Saccharomyces cerevisiae S288C: one gene and its partner. Changing the gene in region 1 together with any one later gene gives a genetic interaction. Each region holds a gene or a part of one and is shown on either strand. Other genes may lie near its edges.

What was found. A genetic interaction does not mean that the proteins touch.
Region 2: mutations in OCT1 (region 1) and ICP55 impair growth when combined (synthetic growth defect), as found in Saccharomyces cerevisiae (one study listed by BioGRID).

The regions. Positions count from the first base shown.
Region 1 is NC_001143.9:188,624-193,459, forward strand, and holds OCT1 (metalloendopeptidase), read right to left. Parts: upstream 2,820-4,836; coding exon 501-2,819; downstream 1-500. Other genes in the region: APL2 (Apl2p), read right to left, coding at 1-17; RCI50 (Rci50p), read right to left, coding at 3,056-4,447. UniProt on the Saccharomyces cerevisiae protein: Cleaves proteins, imported into the mitochondrion, to their mature size.
Region 2 is NC_001137.3:316,058-320,955, forward strand, and holds ICP55 (aminopeptidase), read right to left. Parts: upstream 2,286-4,898; coding exon 750-2,285; downstream 1-749. Other genes in the region: MRX1 (Mrx1p), read right to left, coding at 1-543; YER078W-A (uncharacterized protein), read left to right, coding at 2,589-2,753; YER079W (uncharacterized protein), read left to right, coding at 2,863-3,495; AIM9 (Aim9p), read left to right, coding at 3,906-4,898. UniProt on the Saccharomyces cerevisiae protein: Aminopeptidase which cleaves preprotein intermediates that carry destabilizing N-ter amino acid residues after the mitochondrial processing peptidase (MPP) cleavage site and is thus critical for stabilization of the mitochondrial proteome.

The DNA of each region.
Region 1 (4,836 bases):
TTATCCAATGGTGGCATAGTTGAAACTGTTTTTTAAGTGCAGTGGGAAGCTGAGCAAAAAAAAAAACTAAGCTGCAGGAAGTGAGTTCGTACCCAGATAATTGGTGTATTATGACAATAAAGCTACAACAGATAACGCTTAGTCATTGGGAAAGTGTTCTTTATATCGTAGGCTTTCTTCACTGAAAAGAGCTCTTTCTGATATTACTACAAGATTTGAAACTCATAATATCATTCTGTACGCGAAAACAGTAGATGTGACAATAAGACATGAAGTATATAAAAGAATAACAATAATTATGCTCTGTTTGTAAAGCGTTAATTAACATATGCATGTTCGTTTTTCAGGCAATATGATCGATGGTTTTCAGACCCTTTTAAATAATGGGTCTTAGTATTTATAAGATTATGCAATTTTTTTTTCTTGGTGAAAAGAATTCTTCAGCTATGAATAAACGTCGTTGGCAAATAATGGCCTCGATTAAGCACCTACTCTGTTCTCTAAGACTTGTGAGACTGTGCTATAAATTCCATCGCATCGCTACCGCCTTTCTCTAGCATGGGGCATTCTAAAACATCAGCGATACATTTCCAAGGGTCTTTTAGCCCTCCCCATTTTAGTAAATGCTTTTTAAATTTATCACCATTTTTTCGACTGTACGGATCATCCTCGAAAAGGGCGTACCAGATTTTAGAAGCTATCGTCCTATCAAATAAGTAGCTGTAATAAGTTGCCCCGTATCCAAATAAATGGCCGAATCTTCCACACCAATTACTCTGATCGTCCACTAGGACCTTTAAACGTCGTTCTAGTGCTTGATAGTTTTCCACAACGTCAAAGTTATCAATATCAGAAATGATTTTTTCATCATGAAATGATTGATCCAGCATAGCCATCTTTGCTTGAGAGTATGTTTCACAATTTTGAAGGAAGTTAGTGCTTTTCATGAAGCGCTGTAACATATCAGCCTGAATTGTTTCTCCAGTCCCGTAATGTTTGCCAATCTTTGTCAGAATTCGTATATCCTTAGCGAAGTGCTCCATCAGGATACTTGGTAACTCTACAAAATCAGTAGCACATCTTGTACCACTTATGTTTTGCATATGAGTTCTCCCTAACATTGAGTGCATTGCATGTCCCATTTCATGGAAGAGCGTTTCAACTTCACTAAGCTGCAAAAAACAAAGACTTTTTTTAGAAGCGATTAGTATTGGAGAAAAATTACACACCAAAGAAATAACAGGTAATTGAAAGTAGGTACCGTCTGGATTCTCACCGACTTGGATGGTTGAGAAATCAGTTTCACTGGGATATATTTGCCTAGAGCAACAAACTGTGAAATGAGCCGGATTTGAAGTCTTGCCATTTCGTTCGAATAAATCACAATAAATTATGCCGATGATTCCTTCCTCTTCAGATATCACATTCAATCTTCTCACGTCTGGGGACCATGTTTCTCCCTCATCAGTAATTGCTGGCTCTAATCTAATACCATATATTTGCTGAAACAAATCTGACAAGCCCTGAATGACATTTCCTAATGTAAAATAATAGCTTATTTCTTTGGCATTGGGAGAGTTTGACGGGTTGAGCTGGAAATATTTGCCAGTATAGTAATCCCTATCCCATGGTCTCACGAGCTTCAATATTTCGTCCGTGTTTGTAGTCAACGGCTTCTTAAGATCTTTGGCCTTGAGTTCAGCTATAAATTTCAATTCATTTGCTGTCTTCTCTATAGTATTGTTCATTAACGTCAAAATAAAATCTTGAACATCTTTCGGATTCTTTGCCATTTTACCTTCCAATTGATACTCTGCGTAACTTGTTTTGTGCATTAAATTAGCCAAGATTGCCCTTAGTTTGATTAAGTGACTCAATCTTTTAACCTGTTTGTCAGAACAACTGTGAAGAGCGGTCCACAACTTTTTTCTTACCATCTCATTTTCACAACTTTTTAATAATGCATAAGCTGCATACCCAAATGTAGGTACTTTATAATTTTGCCCTTTTACATCTTTATTTAATTGCTTCAATAGAAATGTACTCACTTTACTATTATCCAGATCTTTACATGGTATCTTCACAGAATTTGAACCAGGATAGTCTGTATGGTTGATGAATTCTTGACCTACTAAACTGATTTCCTGAGATAACTGGATAAACTTTTCTCTAACATCTGGATTCATATAGATTCCTGACTTTTCAAAATCATCCAATAATATTTTACCAACTTTAAGTTCTTCTGCGCTTAACTTCGAAGACACTTCTGGATTGTTTAAAACCGACTTTAGTATGTTACATAAGGAAACATCAGTGTTCAAGACATTCATGAATTCAAACATTTGTTCATGGCAATCTTGTGCTGCCCTAACAAATGCATCATCTGGATGTGTTGACCTAATAAACTCGCACAAATCAATAACTCGACATAGCGTATCGCTTAATCTGTCCAGGTTCATAATATAGGTTAATTTACCACTCTCGCTAAAATCATTCCTCATTTTGTCGAGAAGTTCTTGTGCTTGCTGCAAAGAAACCTGGCTAAACTTACGCAAACCATCTGGAGAAGTCAAATAAGGGTTCTTGAAAAGTCCGGTTTTATTTTTTTTAAAAAGATATTGTGAGATCTTGCTATTATTAGCATCCTGACCATTAATATTTCTCCAATATGAATTGTCGTCGAAAATCTTCTTAATGCTTCCTGGACTGGTCCTAGAGACTGCGCCGGCTGTGGCGAAGAACCTGAGTAACTTATTTTGGCGGGAAGGTGACGGTATGGAGGCATTGGACCCGGCTTTCAATATTATCGTGCGAAGCATTACTGATATTACTTTCGGCGCCTTCACTTAATGTTCTGATACCTATTCCCTTACACATTTAGTCTTTGCAAGTAAATTCATCATTTGTTTTGATTTTGACGCTATATATGTATTTTTCTCACTTTTGTTCATGAGGCGGTGACGTAAAATTCGCCATATCCAATGAGGAATCGACATCTTTCGGCATTTCAACATATTGATGAAAATTTAGAAGAATATATATACAAATGTAAGATTTATATAGGCGTACCATCAACCTTTTTAAGTTCACGTTGAGCTTCCTCAATGAGTTCATTAAATCTAATCATCTCTGAAATACGAATAGCCTTTTTAAGTTCCTTCTTAGATGCCCTCAAGCGTCCCTTATGCAAATTTATCACACCAATACCGTAGTGAGCAAGGGATAATGCCTTAAGTATTCTCTGATCCATTTCGCTTTCCATTGCAACTTTTGGATATTGATTTTCATTGGCAAAGCTGATAATACTTTTATAGCAGTCAGCCGAGTACTGTAAGCAGGAATTCTGGTTTTCTTGTAACCTGGACCGAATAAGTTCTAAAGGTTCTGATTTTTTGTACGGTTCATTATCAATAGCGTATAGACTTCCTTCGAACTTCTCTGAATTTAGATAAAAAATCGACCCGAGCTCTGCCTGGGCAAGCAAGATGTCGTCCAGAGGACTATCCGCTAGTAACATCCATTCTAGTGTTGTTATTTTGCTATTCAAGGCCCCAGAAAGATTACTCCGATTGAGACAGTAACGAGTATATAAATCTCTTGCAGTCAGAAGTTCTTTCATGAAAACGCATTGTTCGCTTTCAGGTTCCTTTATCTTCAACTCCTGTTTTCTTTTAGAGTTTAAATGCATTTGGTAGTCAGGTTTGGATTTACCAATAAATGGTAGACCCTTGAAATTCTTCCAGTCAAGCTGTTGGTTGTTTAAAAGTTCTGATTTGGAAAGAACATTTTTGAACTCCGGTGAGTTCTCCAAAAATTCTCGTTGAGCTAATAAAAGGTGCATTATCAATAACGTTGCATTAGTTTCAGAGTCTTTATTTATTTCATTGAACCTTACCAAAATTTGAAGGTCTCTTTTCAACAAAAAGAATTTTCTCTTCGTTGACTTATCAGTAGTTTTGCTTAGTTCATTATAGAACTTTTTCAGCATGTCTCCATATAAAGCTGTAGCATCATTATACATATGTAATTTCTCATACATTTCTCCGATTTTGATTTCAATACCGGTATATTCATCCGAAAGTAGATCCACGTTTTCGGCTTTACATTCTTCTAAAGCTTCGAGGTAGTACTCAAGGCTTTTTTGGTAGTTCGCACCTTCTTTCTTAATTTCTGAATGTAACCCCTTCCTTAATATTTTAGCAACGGGTTTGGGAAAAGTATGATGTGGCCAATAAACCCACCATATGTTAAAAGCGATGAAACTTACGATGCCTGTCGATAACACCCATTTCTGTAATTTGCTCCTTCTTTTGAATGGTATTCTCCAAAAACTTTGTTCCTTTAATGTAGAATAAAACTTGAAACGGTGATTGGTAAATAAGTTGAGGTTAGTGAGCCGTTCTACGGTCCCTTCATTTTTGACTGATCTATGAAGGTATTTCCACATACTAAATGAGCATAAATTTCTTCATTACAATATCTTTATAATGCTGTTTTTACGTTCTCACTTTGTGCCCTTTTATATATCCTAAAGGATTTAGTTCAATTTTAGAAATTTTCGTGCGGCTGAGTATCCGCAAATCGTTCTTTGTTTGGTATGTATTACTAGTCAAGGATTATTTAATGGTATTTGTTACGAGAACCAAATTACACACAAATCTCCTCAATCGTTTTCTCATCAAGATAAATATGAGAGAATCAATTTATAAGGTAATTGTTTTATCTATATCAGGTACAAAGTATCAAAATGTGGTCGGAAAAACTTTATAAGTAATGAATCACTAATAACTCTTGAAAAGCTGGAATGTAATGCCATAGTTTAAAGTAAAAGTAAAG
Region 2 (4,898 bases), on another chromosome or scaffold:
TCCTCTTTTCAAAAATTTTTGAACATCATTGGCGATTAATTTGGAATCACGTAACTGTTCTCCATTGACGCCTAGTATGGTATAAAAGAGTCTCTTATCTTTGGTTAAGGATAGGAACTTCAAGTCGCTTTGGCTAGTTGGCCCCAGTTTTGTATCTGCTAATGCCTCATTATTTATTTTATGAAATTTTCGAAGAATATGAAAAGCTTGATCCTTGGGGTATGCTGTCTTTTGCAGTTTTTTCAATTGTCTTCTTTTCTTAGAATTTATCCTTTCCAATTGTTTGGATGTTTTATTTAATATGAAACCGTGACGTTCTAGCTCATGTAGTCTTTCTTTTACTTGAGTTTTCTGTAGATTTGTCAGTGAATGAAAAGATCTTCTCAGCAGATGCTCTGTGAGATTAATTGCAGTGTTTATTCGGGGTAGCATTCTAGTAAATATACAAGTGTCTACACCTATTCTTGAAGACTGCGATGACTTTGAGGATGATTGATTCAGATCCTTGGTTCTCAGCTGTCCTTTTGTAATTTTTAGACCCATCTTTATTTTGCCGTAACTAAAAATAAAAACTAAAGAGCAGTGCCCAAGAAGAAGAGGAAAAAAACAAAAAGAAAGCTGAAGAAAAGTATCTCAAGATATTTTCAGTAAATTTTTTTTTTTTTGAATTTTCCGTTTAATATTAAAAGACCTTAAATCGATAAGTTATGTATCTGTATATACAGGGTGTACTCAATTTAGCAATAACATTACAGTGGTGCCACTTGGTCCTCCTCGAATTTTGTAGATAAGCCATTTTGCATGACATTTTCTAAATCGTCAATTTCTTTCACTGCTTCAACAGTTAAATTAGTGTAAGTATCTTCACCAATGGCTATGTCATCTTCAATTCTTATTCCGACGTTTCTAAAGTAAGATGGAAATGATTCCTCGTTAGGAATATATAAACCCGGTTCAATAGTAATAACTTGTCCAACCTTTAATGGTTCGTACCTGGAAACTTTAGGCACATCGTGAACATCTAGACCTAAATTGTGTCCAATATAGTGCGGATACAATTTTTCAACATTCCAACCGGAGACTTTATCTATGCCCAAGTTTTTCAATTCCTGTTTCATGAGTGTGATACTCTTTTCATGGATGTCGTGGAGGGAATAGTTATTGCTAGCTTTACATAACTTAATGCAATCACGCTGAACATTTAATACAGCTTCGTAGAGATCTCTTTGTGCATCAGTGAATTTCCCACTATTGGGCCACGTTCTCGAAATATCAGCACAATAACCACCCAAGGAGCCAGCAGCGTCTACAAGAACCATTTCGTCGTCAAACATCACATCATCGTTTCTTGTGTAATGGATACACAAAGAATTCGAACCAGTAGCGACCACGGGGATATATGCGTCCTTATCGCAACCACCGGATATAAACTTGTAATGAAGAAAGGAATCTAAAGTTCTCTCATTCCTAAATCTTTTAGCAAAGGCTTGATTGAACGATCTTCCTGATATTTGGCCAGCTCTCCTCATAATTCTCAACTCTTGAGGGGACTTGATCTTACGGAACTCTGCAATTCTTTTACTGATGGGTTTGATGGTCTTATTCGCAATGGAATTCAATGATCGATTGCTATTCCCACTGCCATCTAACAGGCTCTTGATGTGTTTAAAATTGGACGAACTGGGATTAGAAGTTGATAGCATATCAAAATAGATGAAATCATTCCTGTTAATTATTTTGGGCAAATATTTAGACAAATCGTTAATGGAAGCAGATTCATCGGCATTGAAAATTTCTTGAACACCATAAACCCCAGACCTAAATCCTTCCCACTTTTCAGCAAACGCATCCTTTGGCGGAACCAGCATGTGGAAAATTGTATCACTTAAACTATCCGTTGGCTTTTCTAAAATCATGACCGAATTAGGTTCATTCCAACCACTAAGATAAAACAGGTCATTTTCCTGTTGGAACGGATAAAATACTGCTCCAGATGCAAATTGGATATCGTTACCAGCTAAAATCACACAACTTTTGGGAGGCAATGTTTCCGCCAACCTAATTCTTCTTTCATAGTATTCCAAGGCTGAAATGCCTGGTGTCAACTCGCCCGACTTTATAAGGAACGGCCTTGTCTCATGCAGTGGTTGGCCTGCCTCAATGGGGATTCTGACTCTATTAGTAAAAGTATTACTTTTATGCTGTTCCAATGGCGATACCAACTTCGAGAAGTATCTTTGGCAAGATTGCATAGAAAACCGTACTGGGTTTATCCTATGTAACATATCAACAGAAAATGACCACTTTTCCTATTAGCTTTTTCTATTATATTCTTTAGAATTGGTGGAGTTTCTTGCGCAAACGATCCACTTTTGCAGTGCAGTAAGTGATCCCTATACCAGGTGAGTTGATATATATTTACTGTATCTTGTACTATTTTATGAACAAGAAAGGCTATTACTCACAACAGTTTTGGTTTCAGTCAAAGTTTATGTGTGAGTGTGAGTGTGAATGTGTGCGTGTTGCATAATTGCATTTGGCCTTTCCGAGAAATAAGTCATTCTTTATTTTTCTCTCTTTACGGTTTAATGGTGCGGCTTTCGTATCTGCGTCTCATCCTTCCCCCTTGCCGCTTGTCAGAACTCTCTAGCTTGGCGATTCTCTATCAACCTGTTATTCCAATTCTTATATCTACCATTACCTTCCAGCATTTTTTCAAATGTGTTCACACGCCCTGTAACGTTTATATATAAATATTTTAATATTTAACTTAGCTTATGCATATATAGTTAAAAGGGATAATAACAATAAGAATAAAAAACACAAACTGCTGAGATAAGAAAAGGAAGCGAATAGTTAATAATGCCTGATTCATCACATTCAATAAGCTCAAAAGATGTTGCATCTGCCATCTCTCTCTATGATCAGTCCATTTACACTAATAACAGGTCTACTAACCTGGACTTAGATCAGAGATCAATGAGCCCTTCCAATATTGCCTCTGGTGAAGATAGGATAACGAGAACGAACTCAGGTTGCTCCATCACATCAGGTGCCTCCATGATTGCCACGAAGGATGGTATTCAGGGGATTAATGTCAAAAGAGATGGGATTCCGAAATATTCACTTAATTTATTGAATTCCATGGTTCGAAAACAATATGATCACAATAATGGAACAAAGTCTCCTACCCCGAAGACTAGCAATATGGTAGACCCTAAGAACAAAAAGAAGAACAAAAAAAAGAAGAATGACAAGGATGACAAATACAAGGTATCGCATGATCAAACCGAAAAGTTTTACAAACTCAACACCACTTCCAACTCCAATCTCACCTCTGATTCTACTACTTCGTTATCGGACCAGTTTTATTTCCAGAAAAGTAACGCTGATTCTGCTCCATTAGACAATGCAAATTACCCACTCTCCGACCATTCCCCCTCCCTAAACTCTATGGATAATACTACAAAGCATAGCAGCAATGTGCACACTTGAATCACGTGAACCACAGTAACCTAATTGCTCAAATTTTGAGAGTTAAAGGAAAGAATAAAATATATAAATGATACGTTTATACCCGCTAAAAAAAAAAAATATAAAACAAAAAAAGGATCTCATAAGACGATTTGTTGGGATATGTCCACATCTTTCGGCTATATACTACATTTAGCTGTTTCCCGTTTCTTTGTATTATTCCCTTCTTATGTATAACTTTTACTAGTAATAATTATAATAAATATTCGTTTTGAAACATGGTAATTTCAAATGTTCAATGTATTTTCGGGCCGATTGCTGACCAGCGACACTTTAAGCCGAACTGTATTTAGTAGACTCCCTTTTCTCATCAGCGAAGAAGAAGTAGCAAAAGCTGTTTAGCAAGCAAGACAGCAATACGAAGACCAAGCATGATTAGGTACACTGTTGCTGGCCATTCCAGAAGGTGTGTAGTAGGAGCTTCGAAAAGAGTGGGTGCAATTAAATGTATCACCGTCGCCGCCACCAAGAGATTTATCTCCAATAAGCCAAACGAAGTTTTTACCAAGCTAACGAATGACAATGATCCAAAGAGAGATGCCTTTTTCAAATATACGTGGGGCTCATGGCTTAAAAATGATAAGCAAGAAAAGGAAAAAAGATTCACGAAGTTTTCGATTGAAGGTTTAAATCGCATTCTCAATGACATCTACATTCAATCTAATGAAATGGCTAAGGCCCCCGACGGTAAGATCTTACCACCAGTGTTTAACAAGAACTTGACCGTTTCATTGGTCAATAACGTTGTACCAAAGAATATAGGTAAAATCAACCCAAATGAAAAAGTTCAAGTAACCACATTATCTAGTATTCACGAAGGTAAACATCACAGAATATACAAGGTCGACACGAATTTGAACAAGGCATTTATCTTGAGGATTCCTTATCCGCTGGAAAATGAAAACACTCTATCCTACAGAATAAGAAGTGAAGTAGCAACCATGGATTTTGCTGACTTGAAGTTGGGCATCAAAGTTCCCAAGATTTTTTGTTATGGTGTCAATTCTTTGAACCCTGTAAGGCAGCCTTTTGTCTTACAAGAATTTATCGAAGGAGAACTCTTGATGAAAGATTGGGATCCATTGATTGAAGACGGTTCCTCCAATCAAAAAAAATATGACAATGTTATTAAACAAGTTTCTGATTTTCAGTCGAAGTTAGTGTCATTGAAATTAAATGCATTTGGATCCATATATTTTAACAATGACTTAAAAGACGGAAATGAGAAGGAGTTTGTTAAGGAAGACATATACGATGGGGAAACTAATCCGGATCTACAAAACAGATGGAAAATTGGGCCATCCGTGGAAAGATGTCTCTGGAGACATAAATCTCACTTGGATTTTCATAAACAAATGAAACCT